Linked DNA regions of Pelodiscus sinensis. The protein of the gene in region 3 interacts with the protein of the main gene of each other region in a biochemical or structural test. Links are inferred from orthologs where the notes say so. Each region holds a gene or a part of one and is shown on either strand. Other genes may lie near its edges.

Region 1 (7,365 bases), on a different chromosome or scaffold from region 3:
ACTTTTGGCTGTGCCTTGAATTAAAGATTCGTAAATGGGTCCTTGTAAATATTTCTCCCACCCATTTCATCTTACGTAAAAATTAGATTATGTATGTGTATAACTGGAAAGGCGACTGATTAATGCCAAGAGGCTTCTTGAAAAGACCTCAGTTTAACAGTTTTTATGGAATTTAGGATACAGTTTACAACCTTTATTTCAATGAAGACTGTGGGTTACTTTTTAAATAGTTGTTCTGCTACACTACATTTCCCTGCTCCTTAGCTACATTATACCGAGCATTCTCAAGACCTCAAAACAAGTTAAATAATACTTTATTTAACAGTACAGCATCACACCCAATAATACTAGTGAGAAGAGAGGAGGTTACTCTTTTGAAGACTGAACTATTTTTAAATGGGTAGAGTGGGATCAGAGTATCAGTCACGATTAGCTCACATCTATCAGGAAAAGTGGCAAATCATCAGCTGCCAGTCGAGCACAGCTTCATTTAGCTCTTTGCAAGGATGGTGTAGTATTATTGGGTGTTACTATTTTGAAAAGCAGAAAGCTTCTAGTTAGTCAGAACCATCTCTACCGATCAACAAGAACCATGGTAAACAGTGGTATCGCCCATCTCCCTTCTTGTTCACTTCCAAAAAAATATGACAGTCACAGAACAAGCACTACCCCGGGTTGCTCTTACAGAGACAACTATAGGTCAATAAGCCAGAACCATAAATAGCCCGGCTACATGGAGCACAGTTCAAAGCTGCTAAAACATCTGTGATTTTTCTAAATAGAAACTACTCCTGTCCCTCCCCGTCGCTAGGCTTCTGCCTGCGGTGTCAGGACCGGACGAGGGCAGTCAGGGCAGGAATAGCCAAGCGAGGAGTTTTCGTATGGACTGCCCAGAGACCTAACACGAACTCCTGCCAGTAAGGGCTGGGGGGCTCTCTCCCCTAGACCAGCCCAGAGGAGGAAGTAGTTCTGCCAGTTGGGCACCGTCTCACCCACCCCGCCTCGCGAACCAGCTGCTCCTTACCGCGATCAAGGTGCTGCTGCGGCCGTGCTGCTCGGTGCTCGCGGCGTCGGCGTCCAGGCCGTTGGCTCCAGCCCGGTCGGCGCTGCCCGCAACCCCAGCCGCCGGAGGAGGGGGGGCGGGCGGCGGCGGCGCCGGGGGAGGCTGGCGGTGCTTCCCGGCCCGCTTGGCCTTGGCCTGCAGGCAGCGCTGGTGCAGGGCGAAGGTTTGCTGTCGCTCCAGCTCCAGGCGCTCCGGGGACACGGCCTGGTAGCGGGACTCGCAGGCGCTGTGGTGCCGCCGGCAGAGCTCGATGCGCCGGCGGAGCCGCTCCATCACCGCGCTGTGCCGCGGCACCACGAACTCCGCCATGGGGCAGGGGGGCAGCACCATGGGCCGGGCACCGAGGGGGCCGCTGCCGCTCAGCGGCTCCTCACGCCGGCCCCACCATGGCCAGGGCGAGACCGGGGCTCCCCTCGAACCCTCCCCAGGCTGCCCTGAGGCCTCGCCCCCTCCCCAAGCGGGCTCCCTTCAGGCCTCGCCCACCCCCCCACTTCCTCCTCTTACGCCCCGGCCCGACTCCGCTCCCCGCGCCCCACTTCCTCCTTCGCCCCGCGGCCGCTTCCCCCCCCCTCAGCCCGGCCCGGCCGGAGCCCGCGCCACTTCCCTCAGGCGCGGCGGCCGCCTCGCTGAGGCCCACAGCCCGGACTCCCCATTGTTAGCCGCGCGGCCGCCATCTTGGAACTGCTTTTCCCCTTAAGAGCCGAGTTCAGACTGACTAGGCGGGGCTTCCTGGGTGGTGTCTGACGTCAGGCGCACGGAGGGCGCCGCGGGAGATGACGGACATCTTGTCCAGCCCACCAGCTTGCCCGAGGAAGGAACCAGGGGCGGGGCCTAATGACGATCCTGTAGGCGGTGCCCTTTCACTGCATTTAAAAGGCATCGACGAGGAAGAGGCGGGGGCACGTTGAAGACAGCCAATGAGAAGCGAAGGGCGGAGCTGTGAGTGACAATTCGGTGGTCCCTGCTCGGGCCAATAGAGGGCCGGTATCCCTTCCCCCCCAGCGTCCAGGCCTGATGAATGAAGAACTAAGGAAGTGGGCTAGAACTGGCCACTGGGTGGGGAAAAGCGGGGATTAACCAAACCGGCTGATAAAACACTCAAGCCTATGACAGACAGCGCTGTTCCACTAAGGCAGATGTTTAAAAAATTAGACTAACCCAGCCATAGGTATAGGCACTAACTAGTAACAACTGGCTCCGGAAAAGGTCACAACTAGGGCTATAAGCCCTTGCTGCCTCTCTGGGGAGGAGAGGAAAAAGAGATGGAGGCAAAAAAGCAGGAGCTGGCTTAAAAGCCAGTTCTCCTCCAGGAGCTGGGGGGTGGTGAGAAGGGGCAGAAGTGCAACAGGATACTGGAGGAACTTCCACCTTTCAAAAGCAGGGAGCATAGGACCAGTAGGGAACTGCTTGAGCCCCTGCTCACTATGGTGCTTCTGCCTTTTAAATGTAGCAAGAGCCAGCAGGGTTCTTGCTACATTTCAAAAGAGAGAACAACCCTTATCGACTAATCAAATAGTTTATGCAAATTCCATCCACTATTCCATTAGGTGATTAACATCCCTAGTCTCAACTAGGAACTCAAGCCCCTTCTAGTATGTTTCTACTAAAGCCTTATTGGCAGTGTTTGCACCGGTCTTTCATCCTTGTGCAGTTTTCGCCATCCACATCAAGAATACTTTTTTACATGTGCAGGCCTGCCAAGGGGGTGAGGGATAAAAGGGGCCCAGAGCTCCTGGCTGCTGCTGGATGGTCAGAGGCCCAGGCCCTTTAAATCACCAGCACAACTCTGCCCAGTATGTTCCAGAGATGCTGAGTAGGGGACATGGTCCAGACAGCACCAGGGGGAAGCTGCTGCTGCTTCTGGGAGCACAAATCCCTCCCCCCCTTCTGCAAACCACCTTGGCTAAAGGACCCAGCGAGTGTCAGCTCACCTGTTTGTGCAAATGTGCACCTATGGGCAGACTGCTCATCAGCCAGGTAAAACTGGAATCTCCTGCATACTTGCACAAGTTACAGGGAACAACTGACCAGTTTGCCCTATGCTACTCATCAGTGCTCCAGGACGACCCCCCCCCCCCAAAAAAAAACCCCACACACCTCCACAAAAATCAGTAATAAGGTTCCACTCCACAAGTATTAGAGTAGTAAAAAAGGAAGATGAGAGCACTACTAGAACAATCTTGATCAGTTGGTAAAATAGGTGAAACAGAAGCATGTACTCTCAGATAACTAAATGTAAAAGTGAACATCAAGGCCAAAAAAGCGCCCAACAAAAACGAGATCACAATGCATGGTACTTTTTAGGGTAGAGTTTTCTACCTTAACTGAAATAAGTTGGGGGGTAGAAGAGGGGGAGTAATGGTGGATTATCAAATTAACATCAACTCCTCTGCAATAATTGTGGCAAAGGAGGGGGGGGCCCTAATGTGATCCATAGGTGCATAAAAAAGGGCAATAAATTACACTTCTATTTGGCCTGAAAACAACTACTGCTGGAATGTTATTACTGGTGCTGATGTCTACAATTCATATAAGATGTTGGAATAAGGGTGTCATAAGAATGGTTAATGGGCTAGGAAAAAAACATAATAAAGGACACCAAGCTCATTTACTATAGAGCAGTTTTTAAGTACCACTGCAGAGAAATACTTTACAATAGGCTCTTCAATCTAGCAGCAAAAAAGGGTATATAATCCAATCCATTGGCTGGAAGCTGAAGCTAGACTAATACAGTTAACGTGCAAGTGTTTAACTGAGGATAACCAACCACTGAATAATTTACCAGAGGTAGTAACAGAATATAACACTAGCAAGTTTAAAATCAGGATTAAAGTTTTTCTAAAAACCATATAGTAATTATTTCAAGGAAGTTCTATCACTTCTGTTATACAAAAAGCTCTGACTACATAACCACAAAGGTCCCTTCAGGCCTTGGAATCTATGAATTTATATACTACTTTTCTTGAAAAGAAGCTCTGAACAGTGGAATCTGTATTCCAAAGTTGAGTCAGAAGAATTTACAGTATGGGAATACAGAGAACAAACCTTTTAGCAATGTACAGAAATGAACTATTCATACCATATGTTTTACTAGATTATGGGTTGTAATACAAGATTGTGCAGATGACCTATGAAAACTGTCATGACAAATGTTTTTTAAACTTGATAAGTATTGTATTTGGTGTGCCACTTGAAATGGGAGCATGTGTACATTCAAAAATTCTTGAGATTTCAAAAGTACTAAATTTACTAAGATTAAAGTATCAGCCAGAACCATGCATAGTAGAAGGTAGAGGAGTACTTACTGGTTCCTGCAACAGCATTATTATGAACTGGATAAGGACAAAAAAATACCATGAGCAGTAATCGATAATGAACCTAAAAAAGCAACATTTATAGAATAAACTGACAAGGGAAAAAACAGCAACCCTCAGAAAATCCACCAACTATGGTCAAAAAGAACAGATTCTTGATAATCGAAATCACAGCTGCAGTAATACAATTAAAATACCGAAGGACTATGACAGAGTTGTTGTGGATCCAAATCCCAGTCCTCTTCTAAAGTAAGTTACTAAACAAGTCAGGCACAACCTGAATACAGTTATATGGTTTGTAAAATTGATGACAAAGTATCTAGATACTGATTTTGTTTATTAAGGGCATATTAAATTTATTGGTGTTTTAAAAAAAATAGAACTTCCAAAAACTTGTTAAGCTTAACCCCTCTTAGCAGCAGTAGTGGCAAATTTATCAAGACTGGTGGCAGCAGATGAAAGAAAAAAAACTGATTCAAAACCCAGCAGTAACCCCCTAGTCTTAGATTTTTGATAGCTATGCAGGACAGATAGCTCAGGTGCTTCTAAAAACAGTCAAGTAAAAAAAAACTCGTCTCTAATTAGCATGGAACTTACAAATGGCTTACCCCAGTCAGGTTTTCACAAGTTCTGAAGTTTAGAAATTTTATACTTGCTACCAAGACTACTAAGAACATTATGGGAGGCATAGTCTTGAGAGGGTGTGTTACACAGCCCAAGCTAAGGTGAATCAAGAGGCAAAAGAGTTCAATTCACATCCTAATCTCTTCATCCAGCTCTTCTCCAATGAAAAATGTTTCATGTGGTATTAAGTTTGAGAAATTTGAGTCTCCAAATTTAAGCTCCGAGTCGGTTACTTGTAACTAGAGGTTCTTCAAGATGTGTGGTCTCTATCTGTAGTCCAGTGAATGTTTACATATGCATATTATTCATCCAGAGCTGGATAATTTAAAATTAGTAGTCTCTTGGTTCATGTATGCAACCTGAACTCACCTCATGGGTTTTGTCACAGGTGAGAAAGAGCAGGGTAGACTAAATGCATCTCCTGCACCTTCTCTACTTCAACAGATTCCCAGCAGAGGGGAAAGAGGGCATGAAGTAGAATACAAACAGGGACCACACATCTCAAAGAACCCATAGTTGCAACATACAGGTAAGTAATCTCTTCAAAAGAGATGGTCTCCTATTGTAGTCCATTCAGGAGCTCTAGTTAGTACCCCAATTGGAAGAGAAAAGGTGAGGGAGAAGGCATCTGTTGGGGATTCCTGTTACAATGCATAATGCATATCAAAAGGTGTGAACAGAACTCCTCCATATGATATCCCTTAGTGGCACTTAGTGGAAGGAGGGCCCTGGTCAAAGCCTAAGATTTTGATGAGAGGGCCTGCATCTTTGTGGGTTAGCTAGAGGTTGGATAATTGATAAAACTGTAATGCAGCCCCAAATCCACTTGTCATATGGAGACTACCCACCCCTTAATTCTTTCAAATATTACAAAAAAGCAGCCTGGGAGACTCTCCTGATTGGTTTCATCTGTGGAAAGTAAAAGGTAAGGCCCAGCATCTAGCTAGTGGAGTCTCCATTCCCCTTCCAATGCATGCAGTTTCAGTAAGAAAACAGGATGATTAACATGCAATTGGGAAATAACCTTTGGCAAAAGTTTGGGTTGAAGATGTATGGATAAAGTATCCACACACAGTGTTGTGAAAAGGTGGCCTACTATCACAGCCCTGAGCTTGCAAACCACTCACACACAATCCATCAGGAAGACAACTTTCGTAAAAAATGAGGGGCAACGAGCATGACATCTGCAACTCAAAGGGCAGTTTTGTTCATGTATATAGGGCCAGGTTATGATCCCATTGGAGATAATGGATTGTATAGGTGTGAAAAGTTCTAGAGGCCCTTCCAAAATTTAGCCAGCCAGCCAATGTGAGGGTAAAGATTGAGTGCCCTTAACATTGGGGGGCAAAGAGGCACTAACTGCTGCTAGTTAGATCTTGATAAAACCAAGGGCAAGACCTGGCAACCTTAAAGGACAAGAGATACTCTAGGACAATGGGAACCCTAACTCCTTCTGAGGAAGACTTTTGCACCCAGGAGGCAAAGTGCCTCCATATGGCTCAGTACCTACACCTAGTGGAGTCCTTCTTGCCACTGGAAAGGGTATTTTGTATTTGTGAGGAACACACACATTCAAGATGATGCCCATCCAAATACAATGCTGAGGGGAAGCACCCATGGAGTGGGATGGCTGATGGAACGTTTGTATCGGTAGACTGAGGAAAGGAATGGGGAAACGGGCATGAAGACATGTGACGGTTAAGAAAGCAAAACCGTCTGGGCTAGCGGGGGACTATCAAGATGACTGTCGCTTTCTCCTATTTGATCTTGGTGTAGTACCCAAGGTAGGAGCAGGAGAGAAGGTAAGAGGTCATAACCGAACAGGGTAGGATGAGAGCATAAATGCCAAGAGTGCTGAGCCAGACCTCCACTTAAGCAATATGCGTTCAGAGAGGATGCAAAGGAAGTCCGTGGTCAGAGGTCCACATTTGTTGAGACCTGTAGTAAGTTGTTGCAGAGTTCCCACATGTAGTTGATCATGAGCCGTCTCCTGAGCAATTCTGCAAATCACTTGAGGTTTCCTGGGGGGGGGGGGGGGGGGGGGGGAAGAGCTTGCAGAAAAGATTATCTAGAGGTGCATGCACCAGTTTCAAAGGGTGACTTGCTTCTCAGCACTTCAGTGGTTGCCCTTTTGCCTGTTTGTTGATGTAGCTGTAAGCACACCATTGTGGTAATGTCCAACAAAAAAATAAAGTGAGAACAGATGCCGCAGACAAAGGCCTGGCATGTTGATGTGGATTCTGGATTCCTGAGGGCTCTATTATTCCCAAGTCATATGTACATCCATATGCACACCCCGGCCTAGAAGGGAGGTGTCTGTGATGATAGTCCTTTTCAGGAAGGGAGAGCAGAAAGATCCACAGA
Region 2 (7,580 bases), on a different chromosome or scaffold from region 3:
TATTTGATGAACAGGTTACTGGCACAAGTGAATAGATGTATTACTGTAATTTAAGTTTTAGCAGTCAGAGTTTTCACAGAAAGACTGGTTCTATAAAAAGGCATTCATTCAACTTGTGTTTGATTCGCAAACATTCACTTACACACTTTGTCTAGCAATCTCAATGTGAATAAAAATTGCATACCACCACTGAAAATGAGTGCAAAATGTAATTAACTATATTCTTGAATTTATTAATTCTAGAAAGACTTTGAATTTCAAACTGTTTTCTCCGCTATTCTCTAAAACTTGAGAGAGAGACTGATTTACACTAGAATCATTGGAAGTTTCTTAATTATTACAGTACTTTATGAAAAATTTTCACTTATTAAATGTCATCAGATTTTAACATACTGTTTTCACTGTGGATATAACATTGTTAATCCAAAACTAAGATATAATATTACTAATCCATGAACCTGATAAAGCTGACAAAATCCCAGTTGGCTCATTCTCCTTTATAACATTAAATATCTATGTGGCAAACTAAAACTATACCTGTCAAAATGTAGCCATCTGATTTAACAAGGTTCTACCAACCAGACAGCAGGTCAATTTAATAATGCCACACCTGATAATAAATCTTAACATGTCTTTTATAGCTTACCTATGTGATACAAAATGTTTGAAGCAATCATCCATAATAATAAATAAGTCAGGGTCTTATTTATCAACTCTGACCGTCAGTAAGTACTCTGATGCAGGGTCACAGGGAATGACAAGGAATTCCAGTCTTTAATAGGAATTACTAAAATTATGCATGTTTTGAGTAGGGATGTGAGCATACAGTCAAGTAAACAATTAACTGACAAGCAAGAGGCGGGGGGGGGGAGGGGGGAGTCGATGCCCATGAGGAGCTGGCTTTAGAATCCTCCAGCACACTTTTCTCCTTTCGTGTTAAAGCACAAGCCTTTCTTCTACTGTTAGCATGATTTTGTAATTCATAAGAAACTTCATTATGGATTTGGCTTATGAATTAGTGAAAATGTAGCATATATATCCTAAGACACAGGATGACACAAACCTGAGAACATTAGACAGCACTTTGATAATCAACGAGCAAAGGATATAATTGTCAAATGATCAGAAAATTAAATGAAAAGAAAATAAACTGAAATAAAATTAATACATAACCACCCCAGCAGTATTTAAAGCAACATTTTAAAGCACTTTTCGTCTTGTTCCCTCATCCTTACAATTCTAAATAGTTCCAGACAGAAACCATAACAAACACCTGCTGCCTTAAAGAATGTGTATTAGGGGGGGAAAAAAACACAGCAGAAGCAAGCTCCATTTGAACATGAAAGAAACCAGGCAACCTCCAAGGCAGCAGTTTAGATCTTGTTCTCAACAACCAAGAAACAAAAATGGAACAACCACTGAGGCCAAAATGAAACAAGAAAAATACTATAATGCCACTTTTCTCAAGAAAACAAAAACAACTATCAATATTCCCCCCCCCCCCCCCCCCCCCAAAAAAAAAGCAAAGGCAGGATGCTAGTCTCTCTAACCAAATAGCCATGTTTGGAGACAGAGTAATCTCAACAAGGAAAAAGAGTAAAAGAGTATTCTGCGTGTCTTTGACAATCACTGTAAAAATATCAAATTAAGTCCACCATGTCAAGATGTTCAACAATATTAAGACCCATCAGGAATTTGTTTTGTACTATCAGGGTGCGAGCAGACAAGGCCTGCTATTGTACATGTAGCCCCATTCCTCAAGAGTCACTATGTATTCAGAGGAGTGGATGAAACTATACAGTGTGACCCAAGAGTGGAGAATGATGCCTGCTATGTGCAGTGTAACTCAAGATGTAGCAGAGATGTGTAAAACGACTGCTGATGCACTGTACCACTATGGTGAGTCTACCATTATTACCTAACAAAAGCTGATTAGTCATATGCCACTGATTAACATCACACAGATTACAGGTGGAAGGTCATTATTCCGTATGGCCCAGTGGCGCTGATAAGGATGGCAGCTAGTCTTTATTGTGACTCAATGAGGAGCAGCTGGAGTGGGAAAGGCTTCTCCTCTTCTGCTGGCACCGATAGTCACTTGTAACCCCAAGAACGGTGAACAGGCAGAGGGAAACGGGAACTTCCACCCACTCCTGAAAGGGAGCAGGAGATTTGCTTGGGGAAAGGCTTGTCCTACTGATGGGACCTAGCGCCTGGTGAGTTCAGCGCAGCCCGGTGACTGACGACGGAGGTGCTCTGCCCCCCTCGACTACGAAGGAGGGGAAGCAGCACTCAGCTTCCCCTCAGCGAGACAAGAGCCTTTGTCTAGTGCCCCCGGGCCGGTGGCTAAGGGTGCTCCGACCCCACGAAAGGCATTCACCTCGGAAAGGGGGGTGTCCGGCACGAAGGCTCCCCCACGTCCCACGCAGGATTTGGGAAGGGCGGCCCACCCCACCCCACACTATGCGCCTCAGGATCCCGGCCTATGGCCCGGGGGCCTTCCCTGATGCAGCCACCTGGGGGTCCCAACCCCCCTGGGTCCGAGTCTCGGGGCCTCCGCCGGGCCGCCCGGCTAGTTGCTCCCGCATCCCCGGAAGGAGAACTGGGAAGCAGCAAGCCCAGCGTGGCCGCCGGTGAGCGCGGAACGGAATCGCTCCCGGCCCGGCGCTGCGAAACCCCCGCACTTACCCTGTCACAACAGGCGCCATCTTCCACAAACTCTCGCCAAAACTCCTACTCTCGCGAGAGCTGCCTCCTCCAGCCCAGGCCGAGTGCGCGCGTGCACGGGCCCGTGAGACACACACGCGGTCGCGGAGCGGAGAGAGTGGGGGAAGCGCGCCACCCCCTCATTCCCGGGTTCTCCCTTCAGACACAACAGCGGCAACAGGCGTGGGAACCTGCCCAAAACTCGCGAGAACTCTAGCAGCGGCCTGCTGGGCGCTAAGGGAGAAGCTGGACTAGTCTCGCGAGAGCGAAGGGAAGGCAAAGGGTGGGGGACTCCTTCGCGGCCGCGCTGCGCTGGGAGTGTTTGTTTCGGAGTCTCCTTGAGCCGAGGAGGAACAAACCACGCGCGGGAGAGGGGTGGGAGGGACCATTCGGGTGGGGCAGCCAGGATCCGTCCCCCAGGCGCTCCTCTGCCCGTGGCCGACACGCAGCGCGCCCCGGAGTGCTGAGCGGCCCCGGCCCGCGCCAGCCAGCGAGCGAGCGATCGCTGCCTTCCAGCGCTGCCCTCTCCGCGGAGCGGCCCGGGCCGCCTCCCCGCCTTGGGGGTCGCACGCTGGTGGCCGGTTAGCCGCTGCTGTCCCGCGCTTCGCAGCCCTCGTCTCCCCTGCCCGCCGGCTCCGTACCCTGCTGTAGGGACGCCCTCAAGCGCCCTGCCTGGCAGGGGTTGTGCGTCCTTCCTCACCCCCACCTCTGCGAGCCCACCCGGGGAGGGGGGGGGCTGTCTCCCCGCTTGTTTACAGACACAGGTAGAGAAATCCCAGGGTTGGGGGCCCCTTCGCAACTGCATTTTGGCTGCACTGAAAAAGGTAGAGAGCTGGCAAGAGAAGCAATGTCAGTACCAGGGTATTACATTGTCCACTCCTGACAATTCCTTGGCACTAGTGATTTAACAGAAAAGGGAAAATTCTGATTTGAGGCCCTGAGCTGGGCATTTAGCAATCAGAAAGGTCATTTGCAAAACTAAGGCCGGGTGTAAGCTGGGAGCTTATGTCAATTTGACTGTCTTAGGTTGATTTGCTAAACAGTGAAACCACTATGCCCATCCCAATTCTGTTGACTTTAAGTGCAGTTAAGGTCAATTTTGGAACTCCTGCTTAGAATGACACTAAATTTGACCTTGCATGGTCAACTTTATGGTAGTTCAGACACAATGCTGAGAAAGTCGTAGTTCAGGCATGACTAATCTAAACTTGAGAAGGAGCCAGAATTTTCTAATACACATTGCCAAAGAGCAGTTATATGTCACCAGCCCTGATCATGTCCTCACCACCACTGTCAGCACATCCCCCCACTCCCACTGATCAGAGCCTGTTCCTGCCCACTGTGATCAGCTCTTTCTGAATGGGAGACACTGGAGGGGAGAAGCATGGGTGTGACAGGTTCAGTGGAGAATGTGGGAAGTGGCAGGATCCTAGGAGAAAAGGGCAGAGGGGGACAGCACCTAGGGCAGAGTTGGGGATTGAACAGCCTCTGGACCAGTGGAAAGTTGGCACTTGCAGCTCCAGCACTGGATTTGGTACCTATGAAAGGAGTCCCATATTATCTTCTGAAGAGACACATGTGGCTCTGGAGCTACAGGTTGGCCACCCCTGTCAGGCTATGTCTACACTGGCGGGTTCTTGTGCAAGAACCCTCAGAGCATCCACACTGCCCACCTGCTCTTGTGCAAGAAGATTTACAGTATGGTGTCAGAAGAGTTACGCTCTTTTCTAACAAGTGTAAGCCCTCTTGTGCAACAGGGCAGTGTGGATACACGGCAGGGGCTTCTTGCACAAGAAAGCCCTATGGCTAAAATGGCCATCAGAGCTTTTTTGCGCAAGACAGCGTCCACACTGCCATGGATGCTCTGGCGCAAAAGCACATGGCAGTGTGGATGTGTTCTTGTGCAAGAACCCGCCAATGTAGACATAGCCCCATAGTTTTTGGCTTCTAGCATGCATCCTATAGTACCCCACAGTGTCCACTCTGGCCAGGACTTTCAACTCTACTGCTCTCCAAGGGTATGTCTACACTATCTCGTTAATTCGAGCTAGGTAGCCAAATCAGGCAACCGGAGTTGCAAATGAAGCCCAGGATTTAAATAAATCCTTAGTTCGGATTAACTGTTACACCTCATTCCATTCCATGAGGAGTAACAGTTAATCCAAACTAAGAATTTAGTTTGTATTAACTTTAAACTGTTGCGTGTAGCCGCAGGCAGTTCGTTCGAACTAAGGGGGATTTAAAAATGGCGTCCGGACAGGAACATGCAAATAAAGCCTGGGATATTTAAATCCTGGGCTTCATTTGCAACTCCAGTTGCCTGATTTGCCTATCTAGCTCGAATTAATGAGCTAGTGTAAACATACCCCAAGTGACCAGGAAAAGAACTGGAAAATTTTGAATTTCATTTCCAGTTTGGCTAGCAGACTTCAGAGCAGGCAGCACACCTGAGTAGCACACTTACCCACCCCACATTGATTTCTAGCTGACTGGTAGCTGTATGGCATTGCAAGCTTTCATAGGGCAATTGCCATTCACTTCACTGTCAGAGCAGATCTCATTCTGGTATTCTTGTGCTTCAGGGTGGGGGAAAGCCATATACAAACTTTCATGAGAGTGACCTTACATATATAAAAGTTTTGCAGCTCTTGCCAGTCATCCCATAACTATGCCATCCCACCATTATGTGCTTCTCCGATAGCACCAGAACCAATGTCCCTATGTGTCCAGAGAATTGAAAGTTGGCAGCATTTCCAGTTGCTCAACCCAAGTGCTTTGCAAAAGAATATGTTCATGGCCTGACGAGATTCTTCCTCGCTCCAGCGGACCCTGGACATGCTCTAAGATAAGGCTCACTCTGAGTAATATGATTATCGTAATGCTTTGATGCTCAACAGAATCCATGATGGAGTCCATGCTATGTGCTATATGTGGATAACAAGGGGAAAAAAGTGTGTGAAGTGATTGTTTACCACTGCTTTCAAGTGGTGGGGTGAAGGGGAGGAGATGAGTGCACTATGAGATGCTGACGACATATCCCCAGAAGCACTCACTGCATAGTTTTGGTTCCAGTTTACACTGGGAACATAACCCAGAATGCAAGGGGCGAAGTAACTGTGGGATAGCTAACCAGAATACATAACTCTCAAAACTGACAGTAGCCCCCATGTGGACATGCTACTTTGAATTGTGTCAAATTCATGTGAACAGTAGGAACATGGACCTTGACAAAATCAGGTGCTACAAAAAACTGACCTTAGTAAATTTGCTCTTATCTCATAGTGTAGACATGGCCTAAATGTGCAATTTAACTTTCCAGACTACTGGTGTGGAAGTTCATAACTAGCTCTTCTTTCACCCCGTCAGCTTTCTGCCTCTGTAGCATCAATAAGCCATCTAGCTTCACACTCAAATCCCCAATATTAATACAAATATCCAATATGAGAATGAGTTTATCACTACTTCAGTCTTTTGTAAGTATGTCAACCAGACCTGCTAAACTTTCCATCATCTTTGTAATGTAATTTTTGGTCTGCATCTTCAACTTGAGCGACGAGGAGTCCTGTGGCACCTTATTGTAAGGGGACTGTTACCCCTTACTAAAACTCTGTGGGAGTTTTTTGGTTTACCAGCTTCAGAAGGGGAAGGGTTCATGAGACTGACAGACCCCAGAGACAATGGAAAGCAGTCAACACTCCAGCTCAGCCTGACTGACAGGTTGTAAGTGGGGATTGTTCTGGCTCTGTCTCTGAACAAACAAGCTGTGTGCAGAAGAGGTCCTGCAAAGACAGAGAGCTGAAAGAGGAGTACAAGAAGAAGTCCTGCAGCGACAGAACCAGACACAGACAGGCCAAGCAGTGCAGACCCTGTGTTGAGCAGCAGACTGGCAGTGCTCAGAAAGCCAAAAGGAACAGAGAGGCAACACAAGGAGCTGGAACTGGCCAAGCAGCACAGCCTGCAGCTGGATGTGGTGAGCTACTGGGACCTGCAAAGTGTGGAGAAAGGCTCTGGACTGGGAGAGGGGTCTGGCCACTTAGAGACTGAGGCTGTGTGGTCACTGCCAGTGCAAGCGTGTCCAGCCTGCAGCCCCTTGCAGCACTTCCAGGGCTTCTAAGGAAGAGACTGTGGACTGTCCTTAAACTCTGCAGACTGCTGTTTTGATGTCCCTGTGCTACAGAGCAGGGCTGTGTGTTCTCATTTAACCATTCTCATTGTTTCTTATTCTATTCTCTTTAATCAGTTGATGTTTAATAAATTGTATTTGCTTTGAACCTTATGAAGTGATCACTGGGCCAAGAAGGCCTGCAGTGTAAAGAGAGCACTTCGGAGTGGGGACACCCTAACTCCTGCCCCTAGTGACTACAAGGTCAGGGGTTAAGCCCCAGGAAACCTGGGCCCAGCCTTGTTGGGGTTTCAAGGGCTCTGCTACTCAGGAGAGTGGAGGGGGAGCCCTCAGGATCAGGGAGCCGTGGGGTAAAGGAAGTGGGAGCGGGGACTCAGATCCTTTCGCTGGTTCATTTCACCGGGGTGTATAGAAGCCAGGAAAGTTCCCCACAAGAGCGGGACCATTCCCCCGCTTACATTATGTTTGACTAACTGAAGTGTTGGAGCATAAGCTTTTGTGGGCAAAGACCCACTTCATCAGATGCATGTAGTGGAAATTTCCAGGGGCAGGTATAAATATGCAGGCCAGAATCAGGCTGGAGATGACGAGGTGGATCCAATCACCGAGGATGAGGCCCACTGCTAGTAGCTGATCTGGAGGTGTGAATTCCAAGAGAGGAGAAGCTGCTTTTGCAGATTCAGACTAACACGGCTACCCCTCTGATATCTTCAGCTTGCTAATGCTAATAAAATGTAGTGAAGAACAGCTT
Region 3 (7,341 bases):
TATCTGCAGACAAGTTCAGATTACAGAGGCGGCTCCCAACCTTGTTCCCAGCCAGCTCGCAGAGTTTCTATCCTTTCCCACTCCCCCCCATCCCTCACCACATACTGCTCCTGTCCTGACTACAGAAAACCCTCCTGAAACTCCTGCTGAATTGTCTGGCTGTTCAGATATTCATGATTTAAAAAAAAAAAAAAAAAAGGAAGAAAAAAAAGGACAAAAAGCGGCTACAGACTGTCCTACTGAGGGAGAACAGAGCCATGGGCGCGCACTCCCCTCCTTGCGCGTGGGAAAAAGCGACAGCTGCAGAGCACAGCCTTCCTTGCCTGCTAACAAAGGGGGAAATCAGAGCGACCCATTGTAAAACGCTTGTTGCATTATTTACTGTAGGGCAGCTCTCAATCCTGTACGGCCCTGGATACTCAATACCTGCTGCCTGAAAGATCTGATTGAGTCAACCAGCCGCCCCCCGGCCCTGTTTTACTTTGGGGAGGAGGGAAGGAAGCCAGTTTTGGGTCGCGTATGCAAAGTGAAGTGAAACCAGACAGCCCCAAATGTACCTACCCAGGGCTCTTCCAGGAAGGCTGGGTGACACCCTTGCTATGACTAAGCCTTTTGACTTTATAGTGTAACGCTGATGAACACAGCGGAAGGCAACTCCAGGCAGAGAGCAATAGGGGTCCCCATACTTAGTCCTGCACTCCCTGGCCTGCACGCTCCAGAATAAAAACCTCTGTCTCGCTTCTGTTTAAAAATCATTGGGGACAGATCCAACCGGGCACCCTTTTTTTTTTTTTTAAAGCACATGCTAGAGCAGCCTGCAGGAATGGCACACGGCTATACAGGCTGGACTCATTTCTTACCTCCCCCCGCTTCCTCCCCGCAGGCTGCTTTCCCCTAGTAACCTCCCTTGATTGTATCAGTGGCCCTGGTTTCAGTGGGAATCAGGGTGGCAGACGCCAACCCACTCATCCAAGTTAGCAGCCAAACACAGGAGCTGCACTTTTTCCGCCTTACAAAGCTAGTGAGAGGACTCACATTGTTTTGGTTGGTCTCTAAAATGCCACAGGCCTAGTCCTTGTTTCTAAAGTTACAGACTTCACATGGCTCCCCCGCGCTGAGACTTTTTACCCACGTGATTAAATGCTACCCCCATATTTATACTCTTAGGCAGTGTTTTTGGTTGCTTATTTTTTCAGTGCTGTGAGGATTAAGGCAGGGAAGTGGTGCATTTTCAAGCAGACTCATCATCACCTTATCTCCCCATGTTAAGGGGATTATTTTTAAAAAATATCTTCCTACTCTTTCCTCTCACCTAGGTGAAACTCGCGCATCTTTCACTTTGGGGCCTTTTTGACGAAAAGAAGAATTGCTACACAAGTTTCCATTTGATTGTTTCCCCAAAGGTTACTGCCGTGTACAAGAAACAAAACGGCTTCTGACATCCGCCCCCAAACTTGCAAGGAAGGGCTGAGAGAACAAGAAATCTGACGTAGATTCAAGAAACAGGAAATAAAAAATTAACAAGGCTCTCAAAAAATAAAAAAAAAAGCAGCCCATCTCCGGCTTGCTCATTACATACCCCAGCCTTTAACAGAACACATCTTATCTGAAGAAGTGGGTTTTGCCCACGAAGGCTAGTGACTCTAGACATACATGTTTGCTAGTCTCTAGGGTGCCACAGGGCTACTTGTTGCTTTTTTAAAAGTTGTTTTCAAAGTTACAGACTAACACGGCCACCCCTTGGAGACTTTTACACAAGGAAAAGAGTCACTTTCTGAACTTTGCAACATGAAATATTCCACTGCCCAGAAAAAGAAATTCATACCAAAAAGCCCCTTCACTATTCACAGTATCCTGAGATCAGTTCTCCAAAGTAACCCCCTCCACACACACACACACACACACACACACACACACACACACACACACACACACGGTTTGTGTCACACACACACACACACACACACACACACACACACACACGGTTTGTGTCACACACACACACACACACACACACACACACACACACACACGGTTTGTGTCACACACACACACACACACACACACACACAGTTTGTGTCACAAAAACTGTCACGCTATCCAGCCCTGTGGTGGCAACTTTTAAAGGTTTGCTTCTCTCGGGAGATCTCTAGAGAATAAAGTTTTAAGAGAACTTTCTCTCTCTCTCTCTCTCTCACACACACACTTCACCGCTCCCCAGGATTGTTTCTAAGCGGAGGGAGTTACACACACTTGATTCCCCGCCCTGCCAGCCGCACACCTCTCAGGTGGGTTGTGATCTTTTAAAATCCAAGGGCTCGGGGAGGAAACGGATTCCCTCTCCGAGGGCAGCTGGTGGCAGAGAGCAATGCACCACATACAACGAGTGCCCCACGGAACGCAACTCTCCCCCCACATAAGAAGGCAACTCCCCCCCCCCCCCGTCAGCCTGAGCTGAGCCGAGCCGCAGCCCTTTGCAAAGGGGTTCACCTGCGCTTCAGGCTGAGCCCCGGCTTCTCAGGGAAGCCCCCGCCAGGAGGGAGCTCTGCCCGGTTCGGAAGCCCCCTGTCCCCGCGCCTGGCTGCACCGGAGCCGGGCAGGGGAAGACGGGACACAGAAAGGGGGGAGGAAAGTTTCTCCTTCGCCAGCGAGGGACTCCCCGGCTCCATCTCCAGGGGCGCCCCTCACTTCTGCCCCAGCCCACGCGGGCCCCCGGCCGGCCCCTACCTCGGCTGAGCGCGGGCAGCAGGGACAGCAGCAGGCTCTGCACCAGAAGCAGCTGCATTCCTCCTCTCCGGGCTCCACGCGGGCGGCTCTCGCGGCGCGGCTCCTGGCCCCCCTCTCACAGCCGCATCGACCCCCCCAGCCGGCCGGCGGGCGTGCAGGGCCCCGCCCCCCCAAAAGGCTCAGGCGGCCCCCGAGATCCGCTCCGCGGGAGGACGGCGCGGGGCGCAGAGACGCGGAGAGCGCGGCGCGCCGTGCGAGCTCGGGCTGCGAGTCCCCGAGCGAGGAGGAGGCGGCGGCTCCGAGCCGCGTTCTCCTCCCATTCCCCCCCCCCCCCGCCCCCCGCCCCTGGTCCTTCCGCCCAGGTGCCCCGAGCTCAGCCAGCCGCCCGGCCGGGGGGGGGGGAGCGGCCCCCGGGCTGCGAGGGGGCGGGACAGTGGTTGGGCAGCTGGTCCTCAAGCCCCTGCGCTCGGGGGGGGCTGCGCCGCGTCGGGACCTTTCCCAGGCTGCTGGAAGTTGGGTGTTTGTGTGTGTGAGTCTGGGTGTGAGAGAGAGTGTGTGTGTGTGTGTCTGCGTGTGAGAGAGAGAGTGTGTGTCTGTCTGCGTGTGTGTGTGTGAGAGTGTGTGTGTGTTTGGGTGTGAGAGAGAGAGTGTGTGTGTCTGCGTGTGTGTGTGTGAGAGAGAGTGTGTGTCTGTCTGCGTGTGTGTGTGTGAGAGAGAGTGTGTGTCTGTCTGCGTGTGTGTGTGAGAGAGTGTGTGTGTGTGTCTGGGTGTGTGTCTGGGTGTGAGAGAGAGTGTGTGTGTGTGTGTCTGCGTGTGAGAGAGAGAGTGTGTGTCTGTCTGCGTGTGTGTGTGTGAGTGTGTGTGTGTTTGGGTGTGAGAGAGAGAGTGTGTGTGTCTGCGTGTGTGTGTGTGAGAGAGAGTGTGTGTCTGTCTGCGTGTGTGTGTGTGAGAGAGAGTGTGTGTCTGTCTGCGTGTGTGTGTGAGAGAGTGTGTGTGTGTGTCTGGGTGTGTGAGAGAGTGTGTGAGTCTGGGTGTGAGAGAGTGTGTGTGTGTGTCTGTCTGCGTGTGTGTCTGGGTGTGAGAGAGTGTGTGTGTCTGGGTGTGAGAGAGAGTGTGTGTCTGTCTGCGTGTGTGTGTGAGAGAGAGTGTGTGTGCGTGTCTGGGTGTGAGAGAGAGAGAGTGTGTGTGTCTGCGTGTGTGTGTGTGAGAGAGAGTGTGTGTGTCTGCGTGTGACAGAGAGAGTGTGTGTGTGTGTCTGGGTGTGTGAGAGAGTGTGTGTGTGCGTGTGAGAGAGAGAGTGTGTGTGTGAGTCTGGGTGTGAGAGAGTGTGTGTGTGTGTGTGTCTGTCTGCGTGTGTGTGTCTGGGTGTGTGAGAGAGTGTGTGTGTGTGTGTGCGTGTGAGAGAGAGAGTGTGTGTGTGAGTCTGGGTGTGAGAGTGTGTGTGTGTGTGTGTCTGTCTGCGTGTGTGTGTCTGGGTGTGTGAGAGAGAGTGTGTGTGTGTGCGTGTGAGAGAGAGTGTGTGTGTGAGTCTGGGTGTGAGAGAGTGTGTGTGTGTGTCTGTCTGCGTGTGTGTGTCTGGGTGTGTGAGAGAGAGTGTGTGTGTGTCTGTCTGCGTGTGTTTGTGTGAGAGAGTGTGCGCGCACATGTGTGTACACGCGTCTGTGTGAATGTGTGTCTGCGTGTGTGAGAGTGTGTATGTGTCTGTGAGAGTGTGTGCGCACGTGTGTGTACATGCGTGTCTGTGAGAGTGAGTGTGTGTGTGTGTGTGTGAGTGTTTGTGCATGATGTGTCTGTGAGAGTGAGTGTATCTGTGTGTGTATGTGTGTTTGTGCGTGTGTGAGTGTTTGTGCATGATGTGTCTGTGTGAGAGCGCGTGTGTATGTGCCTGTGTGTGAGAATGTGTGAGTGTATGTGTCTAAGTGTTCATGTGTGTGCGCACGTGTGTACACGTGTGTCTGTGAGTGAGTCTGCATGTCTGCGTGTGTCTGAGTGAGTGTGTGTGTGTGTGTGTGTGCACGTGTGTCTGTGTATGTGTGGGGCAGGAGCTGGGTGCTGCTAGAGGCTGGGTGTGTCTGTGTATGTGTGTGTATCAGTTACTTGGAGTGGGAAGAAAGTAGAGCCCCCCACAAGGTCTGTGGGACTAGTCCCTGAGGGCCAGACAGGGTGACGGATCTGGGACAGTATTCAAATACAGGCACAAGGATGCACTCAAAAAATGTGCACTCAACCCCTGCACCTCCCAGAGCCTGCTTGGTGCATGCTGCCTATCAGGGCAGGTAACTCGGTGGGGGCTGTTATGAGAGCCAGGAGGTTTGCCTGCCTTGCTGACGGGCTAGTCCAGTGTTTCTTAAACTATGTTCCGTGGAACACTGGTGTCCGTGAACAACTCGTCAACTCTTCTTTGTTTTTGTTACTTATTTGTTTTTGTCTTTTTTTGTCTGACAACAAATTGGTGTTCATAGGTGTTCTGCATAAAAAGTATTATTGTTTGGTTTTCCGTGGTCTCAAAAAGTTTAAGAAACACTGGGCTAGTCAGTCGGGGGGGGGGGGGGGGGGGGGGGGAGAGGTCTGTTAAGTTGTCCAGGGGCTGCGTTTTCACAGGCTCCGTGGATGCAACCTGCATTTTTGCAGGTGCAGTGCGAGCAGCTCCAAGTTTGGCAAATGCAACAGGTGAATAAACAGATCTGTGAAGCCACCTTTTGTGTCAACCTTGGAAAAACTGCCCCTCTAAGTCTCCCAATCTCAGCCACCTTTGAGGCTCCCCGATCTTGTCTGAGTGGTCGACTTTTGCTCCTGGAATGCTCTAGGTGACAAACAGTGAAGTGAAGGACCAAAACAATCCGAACAAAGATGTATTCACCCCCAGGCGCCTGCCTATTGGGAATGCGTGGACCAGAGGGAAGAAACCGAGTGAGGCCTGCCTGTTTATTTCCTTTGTGCTGTAAACTTCTGAACTTTCAACCCAAACTCTGGCCAACAATAAATAAAAAAGCAGCTAATTAAATAAAAGACGGCCTGGAAGCCAACTCCAGAGGCCAGAGGGGAAAAAAACCCAGGTTGAGTAAATTTTCAGCCAGTGCAACATTAAATTCTGGCTGCTGCCATGTGCCAGTGCTACCTCTGTATTTTATTCTGAGGACCCTGTTCCTCTAGCTCTCCCTTACACTAACAAACCCATCTCAGGCCCTGGTCATCCAAGGGAGAGATGTCTCTGGAGTCAATAGGATTTCTGTCTGGGGCAGGATGGGTTCTTAAATGTGATCACCTGTAGGATTTAACGATGATACTAAGAGTTGAATTCAGTCACATGTCCTGCCCCACCTTAGCACCTCTCAGCAATTATTATGCAGTCCCAGCCATCTGTCTAGGTGCCTAAATTCGAGGCCCTTGTGTTTGAAAATGTGGGCCAAAGTCTGTCTCTATAGTGAACTTTTCCCTTCACCTGTCCCACTATTACACCATGGCTGTGTCTACACTGGCATGAATTTCCGGAAATGCTTAAAACAGAATAGTTTTCGTTATAAGTATTTCCGGAAAAAGAGCGTCTACATTGGCAGGCTGCTTTTCCAGAAAAGCCCTTTTTCCGGAAAAGCATCTGTGGCCAATGTAGACGCGCTTTTCCGGAAAAGAGCCCCGATTGCCATTTTCGCGATCGGGGCTTTTTTCCGGAAAAGACTACTGGGCTGTCTACACTGGCCCTTTTCCGGAACAGTGTTCCGGAATAAGGACTTATGCCCGAGCGGGAGCAGCGTAGCTTTTCCGGAATAGCAGCTGATTTTGTACAGTAGAGCGTCGTTGCTTTTCCGGAAATTCAAGGGCCAGTGTAGAGAGCTCGCAGCTTATTCTGGAAAAGCGGCTGATTTTCCGGAATAAGTGGCCCAGTGTAGACACAGCCCACCAGTGAAGTAGTACTAACAGTGCCGGCAAGGGTGGGAATGCGCATGTTCCCTCTCCCCTTCTACTGTGTTGCTCAGTCCTGCTTGGATGGTGGCAAAAATACCAGTGCCTTGTCTACATTAGTGCTTCCTCTTTTGCTCCCACATCACTGGCTAGTGCAACCGTGGGAAATGTGGAAGAAAAACTCGCTGTGTGCAAGGCCCAAGGGATTCGCCCAAGGTCATGCAGCAAGTCAGTGGCAAAGTCAGGAAAGATGCATAGGCTCTCATCTCTGGGCTCAACCCACTAGTGTACAGCTCTGTCTGTTTGCAACCTGGCACTAATCTTTCAATGAGATCCACCACCGCAAACAATGATATATGAAGATAGCTTGTGAAAGCATCCTGGGGCAGGGTTGGGCCTGCAGGGTCGGATAGCAAAGCATTTCCGCCATGCGATGGGCTGACGATCATTTCAGGGGAGTCCAAGTGAAAACAGGACCGATGCATTGTCCTGAGCCAGCTGTAGCTCTTTTGTCCCTCCTTTGTCTCCAAATCATGGAGTCCTAGAACTGGAAGGAACCTGGGGAGGTCAAATGCAGTCTCCTGCCCTCATGGCAGGACTCAGAATCAAGACCATCCCTGACCGATGTTTGTCTGCTCTTAAAAATCACCACAGATGGAGATGCCACAACCTCCAGAGGCAATTTATTCCAGTGCTTCACCAGCCTGACAGGTG

Evidence for each region.
Region 1: the proteins of NOTCH1 (region 3) and MAML1 form a complex in vitro, tested with the Homo sapiens proteins (2 studies listed by BioGRID). The link is inferred for Pelodiscus sinensis from reciprocal best matches to the Homo sapiens genes NOTCH1 and MAML1.
Region 2: the proteins of NOTCH1 (region 3) and RBPJ form a complex in vitro, tested with the Homo sapiens proteins (5 studies listed by BioGRID and IntAct, with this or other methods). The link is inferred for Pelodiscus sinensis from reciprocal best matches to the Homo sapiens genes NOTCH1 and RBPJ.

Annotation. Positions count from the first base shown.
Region 1 is NC_134727.1:34,213,636-34,221,000, reverse strand, and holds the start of MAML1 (mastermind-like protein 1), read right to left. Parts: upstream 3,006-7,365; 5' UTR 1,394-3,005; coding exon 1,025-1,393; intron 1-1,024. UniProt on the Homo sapiens protein: Acts as a transcriptional coactivator for NOTCH proteins. Has been shown to amplify NOTCH-induced transcription of HES1. Enhances phosphorylation and proteolytic turnover of the NOTCH intracellular domain in the nucleus through interaction with CDK8.
Region 2 is NC_134715.1:101,460,301-101,467,880, forward strand, and holds the start of RBPJ (recombining binding protein suppressor of hairless), read right to left. Parts: upstream 3,006-7,580; 5' UTR 2,709-3,005; coding exon of another isoform or gene 2,689-2,708; intron 1-2,688. UniProt on the Homo sapiens protein: Transcriptional regulator that plays a central role in Notch signaling, a signaling pathway involved in cell-cell communication that regulates a broad spectrum of cell-fate determinations.
Region 3 is NC_134732.1:20,255,673-20,263,013, reverse strand, and holds the start of NOTCH1 (neurogenic locus notch homolog protein 1), read right to left. Parts: upstream 3,011-7,341; 5' UTR 2,786-3,010; coding exon 2,728-2,785; intron 1-2,727. UniProt on the Homo sapiens protein: Functions as a receptor for membrane-bound ligands Jagged-1 (JAG1), Jagged-2 (JAG2) and Delta-1 (DLL1) to regulate cell-fate determination.